Struthio camelus: one gene and its partner. The protein of the gene in region 1 binds, or shares a complex with, the protein of each later gene. Links are inferred from orthologs where the notes say so. Each region holds a gene or a part of one and is shown on either strand. Other genes may lie near its edges.

Region 1 (10,717 bases):
ATTTACCTGTTTGTTTCTTCCAGGCAATGAAGACACAAGCTGAAAAACTGCAACTCGACCTGAGGCTGTACCAACAGCAACAAGATCATCAAAACAACTCAGTAGCTTTACAAAAGTAATAGATTCACACTTCCCCTGTTGGAACAAATGACATACAAAACTTGCTGAGTTATGAGACAGAAAACAGTTGCAAATAGGCATTCAATTCTGAGTGACTGAGCACTGTTAAAAAATTTCATTAGAAGTTAATATTTACCTCAAAATTATATTTTTTCATCTGGTTTAAATGTCTGCAGTAGAGATAAAGCATTCCAATGCTGCTCCCCACTGCAATGTAGTCCCCATTGGTATCAAGTGCTGTGAGGTACACCACTATAGATCGGAAGCCTTTTTGGACCTTTGTAGGAATGGCATTGAGAAGATAATATAAGGGACAAAACTCCTTAAATACAACTGGTGAAGCCACCGATGCCATAGCAAGCACTGGCATCAACACTTTTAAGGCTGAAATAAACACATCTACTTCACCACATAAGGAAATCTGAAAGACAAAACCAAAAGTTCATTAACTTCTTTGAAGAGAGCAAATGGTTAACAGAATAGCTACCGTTTAGCAAGTAAGTATGCAGAAATTGTCATTTTTTGTTCATTACGAAGAAAAAACAACTTAAACTCTTCTAGAGAACGTAAGTTGTCCTGCAAATAAGAGCAAGATTATTTCTTAGGTTCAGCCACATTTAAAAGCAGATGGTAATCACTAAACATGGGATAAGATTTTTTTTCTTGCAGTTGGGAGCTTTTCTAAGTTGAGTTCAAACACATTATTTTTTTCTCATTTAGCTCTTGAAGGAACTGTACGGCCACTCCTGGCACTAAACAATCTGCACAGTCCATTTCTGCATCTGTCTGCAAACTCTAGCCTCAGTCCTTCCAGTGCTGAATCTTCAGTTTACATCAAGAGCAGTACAAGCATGGGATATTCACTGTTTCAGACGGCACAATAAGATCAAAGCATCAAATTAGTATATACGCTCAAATCCTTAACTCTCACTCTGCCCCAAGGAAAATGTGACTAGAAAACAGTACAGTTAGACCTCTACTAGGTAATCAGATAGTAAAAATAGCATGAGAAGAAGGGGATACATAAAAATGAGAGAATTCCCAGTGACAGACACACAAAGATATCCATATAGCAATTTAATACTAAAGATAGCAGGCAAACAGTAAAAGAAACAGATGTTTAAAAAAAAAAAAAAAGCAGCACTGAATGCCTGTGTTTCCTGTCATGGTCAAGTGAATAACTTCATGTTGATGAGTGACACTGTATGCACACATATGGGTAAATTTTGGTATCTTCCTAAGAAAAAGGGAAACGGGTTGTATTTGCCCTCTTCTAGAAAAAAAAATAGCTGGAGTTCATTGTAGTAATAATCTACTGAGAGTTTCAGAAAAACATGATATGATCATGAAGCATATAAAATTTTAAAAATATTAATTAAAAATTACTTTTCTCATCAGAGAGTGACAACCTTGACAGCAATATTTTGCAGCAGTATCTATTCTCCTCATGGATGACTTTAGATCATAGAAAAGAAAAGAAACCTCCCCTTCCTGAATTTTAACAGAACGGTTTAGCATCTCCCAGAAACAGCTGCAGTTTTCTGAAACAAGGATTCTGGACTTCTGAAAGGAATAAAGTTTTCTATGCTTGTTCAGGTGTGTAACAGTGAAGGTTTTGTTAAGCTTCAGCCAGAGTTATAACTTACTTAGAGAAAGAAAAACCAGAAATATACCAAATTTAGTTGGGAACACTTTTAAACATTCAAAATTATTTTGTAAAGTATTCCTACTGTAATTTGTGTGATATGCCCTATCGTGCCTACTTAGCATTTCTCCAAGAATGGAAAACAGTACCGGTTTGGCAGCTTCATAAATCGCTTATGGTGGTATCGCAACTAAATTTATATATATATATATATATATATTTGTATATATGCACACACAGACATACATATGCACACACAAGTTTAATATCTCCATTACTGTGAAAGGCTCCGGTGCTTCAATTTTAAAATTGCTGTTTCACTCATTGTACAAGAGGATTCAGCACACTGGCTTTGGGCCCTGCAACACTTGCTGTCAACATACAATTCCAATAAATCCAAAGGGATTACTTGCATGATACTACCCATTCAAGCCCATGTTAGACAAGACAGCTAAAATACGGATTCATATTTTAGCTGTGTTAAAAAAACAGCCAGTGAAGAAGTTGATAGCAGTTACTAAATGATCTTAATTGTTGTGATAAATTTTACTGCTTGCTAGAGCTTAGACAGATGAATACTACTCTCCTCCAGTGTTTATCAGCTGTCAGGGCACCTATTTCATAGAAATGCTATTAGGGTTAGCTGATTAATGTGCCCCTTGAACGAGGCTCACTAATCGTTCATCATCATCATCATCATCATGATTCATTCGTTCTTTGAACAACGAGTTCCTAAAAGAGTTGTTTACTGAGTCACTAAATAATCTAAGTACTTTACCTTTCCTTTACAACATTTGCACACACTATCTCTTCCCTATCCTGCATTTTAGGACTCCTGTCCTCTCCTTTAGCATTTATCACCTTCTATCTGCAATCAATTAAATTTTAAAATAAACAAACAAACTAACAACAAAAACAAATGACTGCTGAAGTCTCTTGTTTGCTGTTCTAAACATGCTGCTTTGCCAGTTCAATAATTTTACTGGCTGCTGATCTTCTCTTACTCAAATACGCTCTTTGTCCTAAGTCTCATGCATACAAGTCTTCCTCTGTCTAGGTCTCAACTGCTAGCACTCCCCAGCTACTGCCTCATGAATTTCACGTATTTTAACTCTCCTTTGTCACTCCTACAATTCACATCTATCACCATCCCAAGCTGCTCTCATAGTTGGCATCATCTCACATTTCCCAGTTGTCAAAGATCTTGCAGTCCTCAAAATCCATTCTCAGTCTTAGCTTCCACCTCTCCTCACAGCTCAACTACAACTATTGAAAGCATAATGATTCATTATAAACTATGGAATTATGAAAAACTATTACCAGAAAAAGACTACTCTTCTTTCCTGTACAACAACTAGATCCACAACCTGACGCATTTTTTTTAAGTCTACACTTAATTAACATCAAAATTTTCCTGATGACCTTGGGTTTTTTTCCATAGATAACACTAGAGGAATTATTGCTCATCATAGAATAAATTAAAAAACAACTGCTGTCAGATTAGGGTCCTCCTAATTTATATACAACCCTATTTAGATCTTCTCTGGTGGCAAAGTTTTAGAAAAAAAGATTAATTTCAATTTTTATAATCCATTCAACCTGTACAATCAAAAATGCATTCATAAACTAAAATTTCTTGTTGCCACACAAATCAGTTTCATTTTGGGTTTTTCATTTGCGCTTTTCGTGTGAAAACATGTAACTGAAAGCTCAAATCATCACTTACTCAAAGTATTGCTAATGAAGTCATTTTATCTGAGCAAAATAAATGTATAAAGGACTAAAGAATTACAGCATGGCCTTTATTTTCAGAGAGTCTGTACACACACAATGATTCTCTGCTGCTTTTGAGTCCTGATTCTTCAACATCTCCCTAATCACATTTGTATATGGTATGTGGTCTCTTTTTCTTCTTTAATGGTTTCAGGATTATTTTATCTGTTTTTCCAACCTCATTAATCAAAGGCAAACGGTGGATATAATCTATCTTCTCAGACAGATTTTGGAACTGGACCTGCACTTTCACTGGCTCAGCAGTGGTTATTCTGAAGGACGTAGAAGCCATACAGGGCAAATCAGATTGTGCTAATCAGCTCTCCTGCACTGGAAATCAAGTAGAGCAAAATATCTTATGCTACATGGAAAAAAAAAAAAAAAAAATCACTGTCCTTTTCAACCCACATGGATCACAATGAGCTTTTAGGTAAGCAAAAAATCTTTTTCTTTTCTCTGGTTTCAGAAACAGCAATAGGGCTTAAGTGTGGCTACCAAAGACAACTAATATGAAAGATAATCTTGTGGTTAAACAAGTACTTAGTGGATAAAGATTCAGTTTCAGGGCATGCCCACAGATTTACTTATATAAGGCTGAAGTTGTCATTGCATTTCTTTGAGCCCAGGCCTCCTCTCTGTACAAGAGGAACAACAGTTCTGTTTTTTTACTCCTTTGACACACCAAATTAATTTTAAGCGCTTCAGAGTACAGACAAACTCATATGCATAACCTCCGTTTAACACAACGGTCTCTCATCTCAGCCGGAGCCTGTAAACTAAGAAATAAGCAGTTATATTTTCTGATACATCCCATGTTTTTAGCCACCAGACTGCCACATCTGTTAGCAGTGTTTTAGGCACAGGGGCACAATTTTAGGCCTCTTGCCTGCTTTTGACCAGATCTGAAGGAACAGCAAGACAGCTGAGACATTTCTCCAAAGTTTTTCATGTAAAACAACAGCCAAGTAGAGGGGAGAACAAAAATTAGCACCTTACTGAAACAAAGGCAGGCAAAACTCTGCTTTTACACACCTTGTTCGGGAACAGGTGGACAACCAGTTAGCACACAGGTAGAGACTACTCAATTAACACACACATCGCTCGAGACTAGTCATAAAACGTTTTATTTCTGGCTCAAGGGAGTTTCTAGAAAGAACTCTCAGATTAGGGGCTGAAAGAGAGAATCTGGTGTCACTGCACAGGCAACTCTGTAAAGGAAGAGGAACATGGGAACACAGGAAACTAGGCTTTGCTGGCTCTGTTGATTTCAGAGTACCTAGTTCCTCTACAAAAACCTTCACCCCTAAGAGGCATTTCTTTATTCTGGCAGAGGCTTCAAAGGGTTCATCTCAACAGCGCTGCACTCCAGCACTCCGCGGGTTGTAACTACTCAAAGGCAAACAGGAATACACCAGGGGACCGCAGGACAGGCAGCCTACCACGCTTGCTCTCCTGGAAGCGCCTTGGGCTTCGCTTCAGCACACGGCTCACGGGGGAGGCGATCCCCCAGCCCTCAGACAGGTTCACATCCAGCGCGCTGCCGGCGGCCAGCGGCCAAGCAGATTTCTCCTAGGGCAGTCCCCAAAAAGCAAAGGTTTTCCATTACTCGGAGGCTGAAAACTAAGATTTTTAGCCTTACTCTTCTCTTCACGTTCGGTCATCTTAAACCAGCACCCGGGCACTACCGGTTTTTAACGTGCCAGCCCTTTGATACAACCCACGTCACAGAAAACGTGGAGTTTCACCTCAGAAATAAGCGACTAAACCCACGGAGTCCCCAGCGCGGGCGAGCCCGTTAACCGCGGCCGCTCCGGCGCCTCTCGCCCCCTTCCCCCCCCCCCCCCCCCCAACACTCGTGCCCCGCAACGGCCGCGGCCGCCGTGTGAAACGGGCCAGGCGGGCTCCGAAACCCCCCGCCGCCGCTCGCCCTCACCCGCGACGGGGCTCCCGCACAGCGGCTGCTCGGCTTTCCCCTCCCCAAAGCCCGCGAAGGGCGGCGGGGACCCAGCTGCCCGCGGCCGGCCCGGCGGAGGCGCCCCGCGGACGGCCGGCCGGCCGCAACAGGCAGAGCCGCCTCGCCGCGGCCCCGGCAGGCCCGCTGGGGAGCGGGAGGACGCGGAGCTGGGTCCGCGGGGAGCGGCGCGGCTCCGCTCACCTCGTCAGAGGCTCGGCGCGGCCATGACTGCGGGGAAGGAGCGAGCGCGGCGTCGCCCAAGCCCTGCGGCGGCGGCGGCCCCGGCTGCCTGCGCCGCTCGGCGGGGCCGCGCCGGGGCGGGGCCGGACGTGAGCGCACGCGGGGCGGGGCGGGGCGGGGCGGGCGGCGCCGCCATGGCGGGTGAGTGCGGCCGCGCCGGGCCCGGCGCCGCTCAGCCCTGCGCCATCCCCTGGCCCTCGGCCTGCCGGCGCTCCGCGGCCGGGGCGGCGTGGTCGGAGCTGGCTGCCCCCCGCCGAGCCCCTGGGGGGGTCGGGGTGAGGCTGCGGCCCCCCTTGGGGGGCGAGGGGAGGCGGCGGCGGGCCCCCGGCGTCTCCTGAACCGGCGACAAAATGTCCGCTGAGGGAGGACGGGCCCGGGCGGGCCGCTGGCCCGGTGCTCAGAGGGGAAAACGGGATCGCTGCAGTGATTTCTCACCGCCCCACGCGGTGTCAGCCTTTGGCTTAAAAGCCAGACGTGAACTTAACGCTGCCTAGTGGACAAAAGACCGTTAGATCGATGAGCGCTGCAAAGCCACTTGCTGTCCATGTTACGATATCACAACTCAAGACTGTGCTTAGTTCTATAACAGTTTGATTTTTCTGGTAAATAGTAACAAGGTGATGAGATGAGGCGTTTGATTTCATGATTAGAATAGTTGAATTCACGTGAGTTCCATTTTACTTCAACCAATATTCAACAGTAGAGCAAGGAAAAAATTCAGGGACATACCTCTGCCCAGCAGCCCACTGATTTATCACTGTATGGTTTAAACGGCTTGAATTTTGTTTGTTGTCTTATGCAGCAAAGAGTCCTGCTGATAGTACTCCAAGAAGACCTGTCTTATCTGTCAGTGCAAGAAAGATTAAAGATAATGCAGCAGACTGGCATAATCTAATGATGAAATGGGAGAGACTGAATGATAATGGATTTACTACAGCAAACAAAATTGTCAACATGAAAATCAGTGAGCAGTAAGTATGCCAATGATACGTACAGGTAAAGGTAGTGTAGAGGTTGCCTTTATTGTGAAATTAATGTTTCCTTCACTAGAAAGCTTGGAGATGGAGAAAGAACATGTCAACGCAGATAAGCTAGCTCTTAGGTCAAACTGAGCAGTTGCACTTTTCAGTTACATACAATATTTACATTCAGATAAGATTTAAATGTCTCATAAAGATTAAAATAATCTCATGAAGTAATGGTGTTTGCAAGAAACAAAAAATGTTTAATATATGTACAGTTAGGTATAATGGATATGTAAAATACTTAAATAACATACAAAGTTAGAATCTAATCCTATGATCTTTACACATGTGATTTCCCTCTCTCCTGTGTATTTACTCTGAAGTCAGTATTACCAGTTTTTACAAAGGTCAAGAGTTCAGCAGATTTCAAGTAAGAATCAATGATTTTGTATAGACAAAAAGTTGTTAGAGCAGTGAAGATTTAACAAAAGCAATAATTTTGGTAGAGATAGTATCTTCAAGATCTAAAGGAAAACCTAACTGACAGGGTTCTGACGGACATCTGTAATATTTTGTTGTAAAGACGTCAGATCTTGCTTTCCCTTCCTGCTCACGTCCTCTGTCAAAGTTTACAGCTTCTATGGGAAAGTCAGCAAGATGGGCTACGAGACATGCCTGCGCATTACCTGCGCTCAGTTCGCGGTTAAGTATCTTAGCTTAAACTATCAACAAAGGGGAGTTTGTGGCGAGGCAGCAGACTGTCGGCTGGACCAGCTGAGGCCAGGGCATACATTACACCCTGTTATTATGAGAGAGTAGCCGCCAGAAGAGAGGCAAGGTAGAGTATCGCAGGCAGTGTTATCTTAACAGCTGCAACTGTTTCCTTTGAGCGTGAGTTCTGAGGTAGAGTAATTCAGCGTTCCTCTGAAGGTTATGGTACCAGCTCAATTGCTCACTCAATTGCTAGATAGGTCGCTTACCTCCTTTCATGTAGGAATTCTCATGTGCAGCTTGTAAGAAAGAGATTTTGTTGGTTCAGACAACATGGATTTTAAACCTCTGTGGCTTGAGTAAACGTATATGCAGTGGTTGGAACTGCCTTATGCTTCTATTTTAGGTTTCAAGATAATAAATCAGAGATAGCATGTGATAACAGCACCACAGAGTCTGAAAAGGCGTCTCCAAAATACAATGAAGAGCTGGATAGCTGCTGTGCAGAATTGCTTGAGACCTTAAAGCATATGGTAATACTCATTTTGCAATTGCGATCTATTTTTTCCAAGTATGACTTAAGCAAATGACCTCAAGTATTGTAAACAGAAAATTGGGATTCTTAACCATAGTTTTTTTGGCTTCCGACCTGAATGATTGTAAGTCTAGTGTGCTCCGTGTATTTGTTTGGTAAATTTGAAAGTTGGTTTTACATCTGTCTTCTGATTAGAATTTATTCCTCCTTTTATAATGTACTCTCTAATATGATCTTCTGAAATAGAGTCCTGCAAAAATCCGTTCTAAAATTGCACCTGTTGTCTGTTTTCTCATCCTGGATATTCCCTCTATTTAAAACAAGACAAACAAGTTAAAGCCCAGAACGATGTTTTATCTGCTGTAATATCTATTGCAGCTATCTTTGATCAGACATCATGCAGTTCCATTTTTAGTCTGCCTAGTTGCATTTTCTGTGCGGTAGCTTCCCCTTCTTTTAAGGCACAGAGTAAGACAGTTATTATGCAGCCCATCTTCCTTCTGGATACATTGTTAGGAATTAATGTCACCTGCCGGATTGATATAAACAAAGAAATTTTTTTGCTGGTTATTGTAATTAAAAATTTTAGTTAAAAATAACTTTTGCAGCCATTAGCCATAGTGGAGGCTTGTTAAAAAGATTATTGGTGTAAAGTTCCAGTGAGCATTTTTACAGACTCATAGAATGGTTGAGGTTGGAACCTCTGAACATCATCTAGTCCAACCCCCCTGCTCAAGCAGGGTTACCTGGAGCACATTACCCAGGAACGTGTCCAGCTGGCTTCTGAATATCTCCAGGGAAGGAGATCCCACAATCCCTCTGGGCAACCTGTTCCAGGGCTCAGTCGCCCTCACAGGAAAGAAGTTTTTCTTCATGTTCGGATGGAACTTTCTGTTTTTCTTTTTGTGCCCTTTGCCTCTCGTCCTGTCACTGGGCACCAGTGAGAAGAGTCTGGCCCCATCCTCTTGACACCTTCCCTTCAGATACTTGTACACGTTGATCAGATCCCCCCTGAGCCTTCTCTTCTCCAGGCTGAACAGGCCCAGCTCCCTCAGCCTTTCCTCATAGCAGAGATGCTCCAGTCCCCTCATCCTCTTTGTAGCCCTCCGCTGGACTCTCTCTCCAGGAGTGCCATGTCTCTCTTGGACTGGGGAGCCCAGAACTGGACACAGTACTCCAGGGGAGGCCTCACCAGGGCTAAGAGGAGGAGGATCACCTTCCTCGACTTGCTGGCAACACTCTGCCTAATGCACCCCAGGAGACCATTGGCCTTCTTGGCCACAAGGGCACACTGCTGCCTCATGCTTCACTTGCTGTCCACCAGCACTCCCAGGTCCTTCTCTGCAGAGCTGCCTTCCAGCAGGTCAACCCCCAGCCTGTCCTGGTGCATGGGATTATTCCTCCCCAGGGGCAGGACCCTGCACTTGCCTTGGTTGAACTTCATGAGGTTCCTCTCTGCCCAGCTCCCCAGCCTGTCCAGGTCCCTCTGAATGGCAGCACAGCCTTCTGGTGTGCCAGCCACTCCTCCCAGTTCAGTATCATCAGCAAACTTGCTGAGGGTGCGCTCTGTCCCTTCCTCCAGGTCATTGATGAATATGTTGAACACGACTGGACCCGGTATTGACCCCTGGGGACACCGCTAGCTACAGGCCTCCAACTAGACTCTGCGCCACTGACCACAACCCTCGGAGCTCGGCCATCTAGCCAGTTTTTATACGGAAAAGATACTAGTTTGATATTTAGAATAAGCAGGAAAGTGGCTATATTTTCCTCAAGTTTTATTCTGTGGGAAAAGGTACCAGCAATTTGAGGGTTTTCTTTTTTCTCTTGAGACATTGTTATATTCAGCCTTGCAAGTGTATTGATACAATTTTTTCTTACTTTTGGGTAATAGGAGTATAAGCAGCTGGTGTTAGCTTGGATATTAAACACAGCAACTACAGATGTATTTTCTTTTTCATTTCTTATGAGCATATACCAGTTTAATGATTTATACAAACATCTGTATTTTAGCTTTTTGACATAAAGATACGATCTTCAAGCTCCATTTTATTTTTCCAAATATTAGGCCCCTTAGGTGAAACACAAAGTCAGGTGAAGAGAAAGGAAGTGGACAGGATGACCTCCTTTTCATAGCAAGCCGCTAAATCAGCCTAGATATATTGTCACTCATAGCCTGAGCGGCTTTCCACACCTGCAGCTGATCTTTTGAAATGAAACTTAAGTCATATTGGCATGGCAACATTAAGAAGCATGTGCTTACAGAGCTTGTGCCACACCTGTTCTTTCATAGACAGTTTGATGTTTTTCCCCAGTACTAAATTGCTATGGGAAAAACGCAGAGAGGGAAAAAATGAGAGAGAACTTTAATGTATTTCTACATGGGGAAAGCAAAAGAAATATGCAAAATCAGAGTCAGTAAGTCATATCTGTGCCGTTTGGAAATTTAGGGTGTCTGCTATTAAATCTGTATATAAATTCCAGCAGTGATCCCTGCCTGAAGTTATAAAAGTGAATTAGAAATGTTATGTCTCAACAGGGTCTTCAGAAAGAACGCGTTTTAAAATAATTATTTAAGATTATAGTAGCCTAATGTTCCTGAGATGTTCACTAACATTACATGTTCATCATTGTCAGACAAAAATACAACTCAAAATGGAAAAGCTCTCTTCGACTACTAAAGCAATTTGTGACTTGGAAGCATTCCACCATGGAGCTGGGAATTGCACAGCCCCTCTGTTTCACACATGGCCCACAGCATACTTCTGTAAGTA
Region 2 (10,726 bases), on another chromosome or scaffold:
AAAATTCCTAGGAAACGTGGGGAAGTTCTAATTAGTAGATGCTACAAGCCTCTGTGAATCAAAGAACAACTGAGCTAATTTGTGGCCAGTTAAACAAATACTCCTACCTGGGATTTTCTAAGAGGCAAAATTCAACTACAAAATAGCTATCTGTCATTTTGCTTGCCTGAAACTAATTATTTTGTTAGAATTCATTGCGTAATTTAAAGAACAAATGTGGTACTTTAATAATGTGCCTTTAAAAAGAAAAAACTGAGAACAATGGTCAGAAAGGGACAGCCTGAATATGTATGCGTGACACTTCCTCTCTCGTATACTCCCAGCTTCCAACCATTTCAGCTTGCAGAATTTCTTGAGCGCAGTGAGAGCTTAGCTTTTTTAGTAATCCTCCATAAGCTCTCCTCTCATGCAGATCTTCTCAACCCTCTCACGAAGCGAGTTCTCTTCTAAGTACCTGTCCAGTCTCCCCTAGCATCTACATACAATTTTGCATATACAACATCCTCAAGTGAAGTTTCACAGGTCTACCACCCACTGTGTGAAGAATCACCTTTTTCTTTGCTTTGAATACAGGTCTGAACAGCTTCAGTTGCTCTGGCATTGGAGGAGACACTTAAAACAGGCATTTCTTATCCACTGTCTCTACACAAGTCACAGTCTTGAGATCTTTCCCATATTCACCTCAAAGTTTTCTATTTTCCATGCTGTAGAGCCACAGCCTACTTTCAGTCATTCCTTGCACTGAAGCCATTCAATATCTTTGACCATTCTTGTTGCCTTCTCTGAGACTCTCCCACTTCAAATAAAGATTTTGGAGGTAAGGAGATCAGAAACATATATAATATTTAATGTGCAAGTGAACCACAAATTTACACAGTGGCACAGAGATGTTTTCTGTTCTGTTCTCTGTTCCTTTTTTAGTAATTCCTAACATCTGATTTGCTTTTTTGACCATACCAAGCACTGAGTTGACATTTTCATGGATCTATCTCAATGCTATAAAGGTGATCAGAAGATGGCTCTTCTTTACTGTGTAAAGATGCAAGACTGGACACCCACCAGAAAATGAAGTAAACACACTGAGGGTGGTCTCTCATAGAGACATACAGATATTTAAGACCTCTTTCCCCTCCTTCTTTAAGCATGTCTTTACAATTTACCTACGAAGAAGCTTCAATTCAACTCAGCTGGGTGTTTGAAATGTGAAATATCCAGCATAAGTGGAATTAACAGTTTTAGATAACTCTCCAGTAAACACCAAAACCCTGCCCTAAAGCATACACGTGTCATCTATCCTTGCTAAAGCCTCGGTTAATTTGACAGCACTTTAATTTAAAAAATCAGTTCTGATGAATACTAGATATAGTCAAACTTATCAAATAACAATCAAAGAATCACAGAATGGTTGAGGTTGGAAGGGACCTCCGAAGATCATCTAGTCCAATTCCCCTGCTCAAGCAGGGTCACCTAGAGCACTTTGCACAGGATTGTATCTGGACAGCTTTTGAATATCCCCAGGGAAGGAGACTCCACCACCTCTCTGGTCCAGTGCTCAGTCACCCTCACAGGAAACTTTGTCCTCATGTTCAGATGGAAGTTCCTGTGGTTCAGTTTCTGCCCGTTGCTTCTTGTCCTATCGCTGGGCACCACGGAGAAGGGTCTGGTCCCATCCTCTTGACACCCCCCCCTTCAGATACTTATACACGTTGATCAGATCCCCTCTCAGTCTTCTCTTCTCCAGGCTGAACAGGCCCAGCTCTCTTAGCCTTTCCTCATAGGAGAGATGCTCCAGTCCCTTAATCATTTTAGTAGCCGTTCGTTGGACTCGCTCCAGGAGCTCCATGTCTCTCTTGCGCTGGGGAGCTCAGAACTGGACACAGTACTCCAGGTGTGGCCTCACCAAGGCTGAGTAGAGGGGCAGGATCACCTCCCTCGACCTGCTGGCAACACTCTGCCTAATGCACCCCAGGATACCATTGGCCTTCTTGGCCATAAATAAGCTATAAAGCTTATAAAATAATCAGCTACTTATCTTGTTTACTTTGGATGGAGAGAATTATCATAAGAAGACATGGTTATTTTAATTTGTGAATTATAACAAATTCAGAATGATGAACAATATTTTATTCTACCTAAAATCAACAGCTACATCCAAATGAAAAATAGCAATGCTATTCCTCCTCTTTGGAATTTTCTTATAGAATTGTATGTTCTCCTTAAAAAGAAGTAAACCTGGCCTACCAAGTATGAAAGCAAAGAATAAAGGAATATTCTTCTCCAGCAATATACAGCAACAAACCCAACACAAAAGAACAGAAATGGTAATGAAGCTGAAAATGATCTGAACACTCACTGTGTTGGTTGTTCAGTTTGATTTTAGAAACCATCTCTCAAAAAGGAGTGAAGACAATGCTGTATTATATTTGATTTCTCCAAGAACTGATGACTACTCCCCTGAAATTGATAGATCTGCAAGGAGAAATACAGCCATTCTTGAAGATCAGCTGCCATCTACTGAATGATAAGAAAACTGTTTAGAACATTTCTCTCTTTTGACAGTTTAAACTAGATTCTTGGCTGAATATCTTTTTGTCAGTTCATCACTATTAATTTGGGGGTCCGTAAATGTTTCAGGGGCGACTATTAGAAGATATTAATTCTAAAGCAGAGCATTCAGTAATCTGCTTTCCAGAAAAATATAAAAATAAGGTCTTGATCCTACAGGTTGCTCCACACAGGCAATCCTGCTCACTTCCAGGAAGTTCTAATAATGACTTTCGGGCTCTACCTCATTATACTAAAACCAATGGAAATATCAGTGTCTCAAAGTAAAATATTCAGTACCATGACCATATATTCTAGTTAAAAATGACAGCGTTGAAGTTAAAACTCACTGCCTGAGACACGCACATCAAGCAACAATATCATCGTTTTTATGCTGCACATCAAATACGTTATTGGTATACATTTTTTTAAACATAGTAACATTAACTAACAGATTACTAAAATAAAACTAGAAATACTAACAGCGTGCATTAGCAGAGTCAAATTAAATATTTCTTGTGGAAAACTAGCATGTTTCATAAATTGGAACTTAATGGGAACACCTTGTGTTGTCGTGAAACAGGAAGAATTCAGAGATTATTACTGGTAGCTACCTGCTGAGTAGGCTAGTGGTTTTGTACTGCTTTTCTCCTCAGCCATCATCAATAATTTCACAATCAATGTAAGCTGACACAAGGTGGAGCTGTGACCAAAAGAGGTCACAGCCTTACCTCCTCTTCCAGCTCGCTATTTCAAGCCATTCTTTGCACTGCCGTAAGTATTCGCATGGCTGTGCAATGCATGAGATCAAGATTTGGTACAGCCAGTAACTAATTCACCAAAACAAATTAGTTCTATACCAAACAAGCTCATCTTCTTTGCGATATTCAGGCTTTTCTTAATAAAAGGCAGGACAGGGATTAGACATTGAGACCTATAAAGGGTGGAATCCCCTCTGACAGTTTATGCAAATCATGGAACTATGATTACAGAAGGCAGGAAGGATTAGAGACTGTTGCTCAGCTACTTTCTAGTTGTATTTGTACAATTCTGTCCAGAAGTAGACCAGCTTGCCCCTGTTAATAGCTGAAAAAATAATAAAGTTGGACCATCCCCCTGCTGAAACACTCACCTGCAAACAAGCATTAGGGTCATAGAAGTTCAATAGAACTTACCTTCAGATGTGAACATTTTAGAAACATATTTTCTTATAAAACAGTGGGCCATAATAGCTAATGTTATTAATAGATAATATCAGATTTCCATTACAGGTATGTATGTAAAGAAAAAAGAAAAAAGAAAAAAGACAAATGTAGAACCTCAAGTTTGCAAATTCCCAGTAGTCTTAACTTAATGATCTTTTTAATTGTAATTCAAAGTTGTTTAAAGTTCAGGGAGGCAGAGGTAACTCAGACAGAATTCTTAAAAGAAAATGATGCAAAACTAGAAAAAATTTCTCTCTGTTCCATTCCACTACTCCCTTACTTCTTGCTCTCAGACTCTTCTGTTGCACAGCTGGCCTGAACTTTGCCAGTCCTCATTCCCTCACAAAATTCTGTCTGAATGTCTATACCAAGCCTTTGCTCCACTAGCCACCTAAGACATTTCTAAGTACTACATCCAAGCCTTTCAGATGCCACCTACCTTTTTTTTTCTTTTTTACGTAGGCATACATATAGTATCACAAAAATTATTTTCCTTCGCTTATTTTTCTGGAGTCTGAGAACTTTTTCAGGTGCTACAATTATACATAGTGACAGTAAACCACATTCTGTAGGACATTTGTTGCTTAATTCAAATCTAAAACTTCAAAGAGATTTTGGAAAAAAGGTGGGCTACCCATACAGACGTCATTCTAAGATCAGAACCTAAATATAAACAAACTGTTACAACACAATATCAAATCAAACGGCAAGATCAACGGAAATACAACTTGAAAACATCAGAATCTATTTGCTAGATAATTCAGCCACAACAACAACAGTCTTCTGTGAAGAGGAGAAGATGAGATATGTTCTGATTACTTGATTTGTACATGTAATTTTCAACAATAGCCCAAAATTGTTTCCCACTTTTCCTATATGTAAAAATATGGGTATTTTCCACTGTTATACCCTTCCATAAGATATACTGAAAGAAAAGGTACTATGAATTAGATATTATTGTTTTATCAGGTTGGGGGGATATTTTCTTATCACTTAAACATTTTGTGTTTCTCGGTACTGAGGAGACAAATTTTAAATGGAAAAAAATGGATTCATGCAAAGCATCCCATCCATCATTAAAAAAAATCAGTAAGAGGACCTAAACTTGCTCTCACTAAAGCCAATGGCAGGTAATGTTAACAACTCTAATTGTTATTTGGAATTCTTTGTCACTCAAGACTAGGTTTTGCAGATGTTTCTCTCTTGTCAGAAAACAGATTTTCCAGATGTTACAAGAAAGCACAACTATATACGAATATAGACCACAGAGCCCAGTTTCAGATAGGCCCTTTTCTTTATTTTTTTTCCTAAGCACAACCTTTTAACACCAAGCAGAGAATCTACCTCTTACACTTTAGAATTCTCTGAAACAGTCTGCCATTTTAAATAGAATACGTTGTTTTCTTTAACTGAGTACGCACTCAAGAGCACTTATGCTTAAGTATGAGAATCTTTGAGGGAAAAGAAAAAAAACAAGAGAATATGTTTAAAAGACATATGCTTGAAAATACATTCTCCCTCTTGGAATGAAAGGTCCTTACAGTCTTCTGCCTTTACATTCAGCGCTCTGTCCCATCCTAAATACCGAATATGTATGTATATTCCACATGAATGTTTGCATACAACGCGCAGCAGTAAAATATGCTGTGAAAAATCATTAAGTTGACATCCAGGAAAAAAGGAACTGAAAATAAACACTGAAAGGAGAGAACTTGTTCGGGAACTGAAAAGAAACAGAACATAGGCCCTTTTGCATGTATTAAGACAAAAAAAGAAGGCTTACTGTTTTTCACACTGCTCACTTCTGATGTCCTAAACGAGCTCTTTTCACATTGCATATTCCGTTTGTACGGCTTACTAAAATACTTTGGCTACAGCCCTCGGTCCAGTAAGGAAAGTGATAAAGCGGGATATCATGAAAAAAATTTCCTATGCTTCCCCTCCAGAGGTCTTCATAATACATACTGGACTGCTTTTACTTAGGCTGTAAACCATGACCGCCACATTCTGTCTGTGTTTGTAATTGATTCTGACTGGTGTCTTATATTTGAGATCCCAATTTCGGGAAGTATCTGGTCTCATATGAAGTTTGTATGTATGAAGTACATGTGTAAGTGCAATCACAGTGAAGCTCCTTACAAGAATAAAATTATGCACACATTAAAATTTCGAAGATCATGACTTTATCTTGTATTCTACAATGCTGAGAGATTGCCTGAAAGGTAATTATAGAAGTACTGCATAATTTACTGCATAATTTAAGAAGGCTGTAGGCCAAAGAGTTATAAATTAACTTTTCCTAAACACTGATTAAGGATTTGTCGGAGCAGCACACTAATACAGATTTATCCATTGCTGAATAAATTTCTGTGTCCTGATTACTTGTATGAGCAGCTCCTCAAGATAACTGTGTGGCTCCCCAACTCCTTTTCTTAACGGGCAGCTACAGCTGCCCCAACCCCAACCGCTCATGAGCAAGGTGCTAGCGAGTCAAGGGACACACTGACAGGAGACACGGGAAGGAGGATGCTCAACTCTGGGGAGCACGTTTAAGAAGCACTACCTCGATGAGGGGGCCGAGCTGAGAAGAGACGAACGGAAGCAAGCACGCGAGCCTGGTGAAGACCGGCTCTGTGGAGAACAAGCGGGTGACAACGAGAGGAAGATCACTCCATTTCGTGGAGTGGGAGGAAGGTATAAAAAGCGGGCAGGTGGCCTTAAAGCTAGGCCGCCTGTCACTATGATGGATTCACCTCACGGCCGCAGCCGTTGGACACCTCTACGGAGGTGAAAGGCGTCAGCAGCCGCTGAGGCGACGGCGCGCGGCCCCCCCCGCCAGTGCGCGCGCCGGCGCCGGCGCCGGCTGGGCGGGGCGACCTGGGTCAGTGCGCGTGCTCTAGCGCAGCGCATGGGCAGCGCATGCGCAGGAGGCGCAGCGAGAGTGCTGGCGCGCGGCTGGCGGCCGTCCGCGCGTCGGGGCCGTTGCGGAGGAGGGAGGGAGGGAGCGGACGCTCTCTCGGCCCGGCCGGGCCGTTACGCGCGCGGAGCCGCGGCGGGCCCGGCTCTTGGCGGAGGGCGAGGCGGGGGGGGTGAGTAGTGAGCCGGACGGGGCCCTCTTAGGAGGGTTGCGTGCCCGTCCCCGCAGAGCGCGCCGCGGACGCCTGCTATGGAGGTCGCGCCCTTAAAGCTGCTCCCGCTGGATACGGGCGATGAGGGCACCCAGAGGTGCAGGGTAGGGCCTGCCGCCCTCTCCTTCCTGGGAGCCAGGATCGGGGCCCCGCTGCGGGTCACCCTGCCCACCGGTTGCTGCTTATGCACGGCTTGGCCCAGGCACGATTTGGCAGACGGTTACCTGCAGGTCGACCTGACGTGCAAAACGGCAGGCGTAACTGCAAAGGAGCTAAAAAATCTCACGCTGGACATCAGCCAGCTGAAGCTTTTGGCATATCATCACTTAAAAAAAGTGACTGTGAAAGTAGTCCTTAAGAACTCTGCGCTGAAAAAGTCTACCTCCAGAGGGGTGTTGCAGGAGATAATCAAAGAACTGCTAAGAAGTATTTATGTTTCGCTTCATTACACTGTTACAGTTGCTCCAGCTCTTGAAAATCCCGTGGTGTATATTGAAATACTTTCTGTAGACCCTTTGACAGATGAAGCTGGACTAGTAACCCCCCAAACAAGCATAAAAATTAAAGAGGTTGTTCCTTTAGAATGGTACAGGCATTTATCAGAAGACACTGCGACAATTTCAGTTGCAGGACTAGATGGTGTGGGAAGGTCTCTGAAAGAAATGGTTGACTTACCTTTCCGTTTTCCAAAAACTTTTAAGAAGCTGGGACTTTCTGTCCCTAATGGAGTGCTATTAGTAGGCCCTCCAGGTGTAGGGAAAACCCTTCTGGTAAAGGCAGTAGCAAAAGAAGTGGGTGCCTATCTGTTTTGCATCGGTGGCCCAGCCCTGTATGGTTCAAGACCAGGAGAAAGTGAAGAGAACTTGCGAAAAGTTTTTGAAAAGGGCAGAGAAATGTCCTGTGAAGGACCAACCATTCTCTTTATTGATGAAATTGACTCTTTATGCCCAAAGAGAGGAAGTTCAAACAATGCTCCTGAAGATCGTATTGTTGCTCAATTGCTAACATTATTGGATGGCACAGGTAGCAAGGATAAGATGGTTGTTATGGCAGCAACAAACAGGCCTGATGCCTTAGATCCTGCACTGAGAAGACCTGGCAGATTTGACAGAGAGGTGAGCAGACCTGTTTTTTTCACACCCTCCTTTGCACGGGGAGGGTGGTACAATCAAAATAATTATACTTTTGGAGGAAAAGGGCTACTTAAATGTTATTAATGCGTTCACAGTTAAAAGTATCATTTTAGAGGGTTTGTTAATTGTTGAAATGTATTCTATGGTGGCATTTTTCCAAGTTTTTTTTTCATGTATGAACATTTACCGAATTGTTTTTCTTTTGGATTCAAAGATCTGCTTCCTTATTCCAGTTATTGAAATACTTTATTTTGTGTGTTCATATCTTTGAGTTTATGGACTAAGAATTGTAGCAAGACAAGCACAAATTCACAGGATCATCCTTAAAGGTACTATTATTTCTGACTTCTGTTTTACCTAGTGCATTTTATTAAATGCATGTAATCATCATCTAATTCAGCTCTTATGATGCAAGGCAAGTATTATTTCAGTGCTAAGTCTTATTTTTAAGTTACCTTAAAACATGTCTTTACAGACTGGGGGCTGATGGTGTTATATTAACAGCTGTTTATACAAACACTGTCCACTTGGAAAATAAGTGTAAATGAAAGGTGTTTTAAATATTTGTCATTTGTATAGAGTTTTTTATGTCAGAGTGCTGGAGAACTGCTAATTAGTTTCTTGTAAAATTATTTAATCACAGTATAAGGAAGTATAAATCTTCAGTAAGCAGTATAGAGAGAAAGTTGCTTGCCTAGGTCTATAAAATGAGGAATATAGCAAAATGCCTACTTACTTTTTTTTTTATTATATTTGGTTTAGGTTATTATTGGGACACCAACACTTACACAGAGAGGATCCATCCTGCAGTTGCTTACATCTAGCATGCCAATTTCTGCAGATGTTGATTTGGTTAAACTGGCAGAAATGACAACTGGGTATGTTGGAGCTGACCTTACAGCGCTCTGCAGAGAAGCTGCTATGCAGGCAGTGTTACAGAGCTCTCAGGTAAGGCTGCAAATTAATCAAGAAGGATGTCATTATTAATATGTACCACCTTTTTCCCATTAATGCTCTGCTTTTACTTGAAATGCTCAGCAACTTGAAGAACTCAGAAATTAAAATACTGAAAATAAGCAAGTTATAAATGTAAATATACAGTTTTGCTAGTGACTTTCAGCTCACGCCTGAGGGGACTGTTCTGTCCTTTCTGAGTAAAAAGCTTTACAAAAGGTTTTAGTCTCTCCTCCTTTTTAGGAGTGTGCAAAGGAGATATTTTTTATTTGTTTTTTGAGGAAAACTAAACTGGAGTAGTCCACCAAAGCTCTCTTTTGAAAATATCAGCAATTTAGAATTCTGCTTCTGAACAATAACTGTGCAAATTACAGTTTAGAGTGTTATATATGTATACATGTGTACATATACATGTACATATTTATATATAAATAAAATAAATGTTTATAACTGCTAGTGATTATAACTTGTCTTTTGGATTGCATGGCTAGATATAACATGAAGTTACAGACACAAGGCATATAGTTATAACTGCCTTATGTCCAGTGGGAATTGCTGCTTCTTAATATTCTTTCCATCTTTATTGAGACTTTTACAAGAATTGTGAGGATTGTTTGCTGTGCTGCTTTGTCTGTGGAAGGTGACGTGGATGAGCAAAAATTTTAAAGCTGTATCTGCAAAATCTGTGGAGCCAGAGCATCTATAGGCGATGGCAGACTCCTCTGTCTTCACTCAGGGGTGGAAAGAAGGGAATGTTTTCTTTCTAGAACTTCTATCTCCTTCAGATACCATACAGATTAAAGGTAGCTAAAATAATTTGATCCTGGTATCCCAGAAAGAAGTAGACGGACAAACAGAAATAAGGAACAAGCGGATGGCCTATTTGACTGGTAAATAGCAAGGTCCTTTGTAAATACATCTTAAGTTTTGTCAGTGAATCTGTAGTTTTAGATAACTGCATCTTTATGCTGTTTGAAATGAGGTACAGTTTTCTCTAAAACACTAATTTCTTTTAATTTTTTTCACATTTAAAAAAAACCCTTGCCTTAAAGAGAATATGCTCTACTTTGTGTTATATGTTTGTGTTCAAGTGTACAGTACATAAGCTTATTAGGGCAGAAGCTTGATTCTTTATCAGTTGTATTTGGCCTTTTGTGGAGTATTTTTCATACTAATGGAACATGATACGTTTATTGATTATATAAAGTATTGCTTATTTGGTGTATGTGGGTTTTCTTCAGGATTCAGCTGAAATGGTGATTAACATGGCAGGCTTCCACGCAGCTTTTAAAAACATTCAGCCATCCTCTTTCCGAGGTGCTATTGGTCTAACAGAGTGTAAACCTGTTACCTGGGAGCAAATTGGTGGTCTTGAAGATGTGAAACTAAAATTAAAACAGGTAATGTATAAAACGTATTTAAATTAAAAGCTAGTTTCTAATAACCATCTTCTCCGGAGTATTCTGTATGCTCTCTATTATGGACATGCCTTTCCTTGCAAATTATATGTTTACAGATTGTATATTCTAAACTATTTTAGAATACATAAAGTGAATGACAAGCACTGTAATAAGAAGCCTATCAGTGGTCTTTGTCTTGTCACTATAAGTTTCATTAAGCTGGGTTTCACCTGCAAACATAGTATCAAGGAAAAACTAGTGTGTTTTCCTGTAGCAGGAAAAAAAACACAGCAATATAAATTCCTGAGTTTGTAGCCTCAGATGGTATTATCTCTCAGGAATTGTCTTTTGTTCTGTTTCAG

What was found.
Region 2: CINP (region 1) and AFG2B share a complex: the UniProt entries of both Homo sapiens proteins name them as parts of the 55LCC heterohexameric ATPase complex. The link is inferred for Struthio camelus from reciprocal best matches to the Homo sapiens genes CINP and AFG2B.

Annotation. Positions count from the first base shown.
Region 1 is NC_090946.1:71,425,842-71,436,558, reverse strand, and holds the start of CINP (cyclin-dependent kinase 2-interacting protein), read left to right. Parts: upstream 1-5,827; 5' UTR 5,828-5,866; coding exon 5,867-5,873; exon of another isoform or gene 5,874-6,007; intron 6,008-6,534; coding exon 6,535-6,703; intron 6,704-7,814; coding exon 7,815-7,941; intron 7,942-10,580; coding exon 10,581-10,710; intron 10,711-10,717. Other genes in the region: TECPR2 (tectonin beta-propeller repeat-containing protein 2), read right to left, coding at 7-135, 257-490. UniProt on the Homo sapiens protein: Component of the DNA replication complex, which interacts with two kinases, CDK2 and CDC7, thereby providing a functional and physical link between CDK2 and CDC7 during firing of the origins of replication.
Region 2 is NC_090953.1:12,703,645-12,714,370, reverse strand, and holds the start of AFG2B (ATPase family gene 2 protein homolog B), read left to right. Parts: upstream 1-6,642; 5' UTR 6,643-6,915; coding exon 6,916-7,992; intron 7,993-8,772; coding exon 8,773-8,958; intron 8,959-10,205; coding exon 10,206-10,364; intron 10,365-10,726. UniProt on the Homo sapiens protein: ATP-dependent chaperone part of the 55LCC heterohexameric ATPase complex which is chromatin-associated and promotes replisome proteostasis to maintain replication fork progression and genome stability.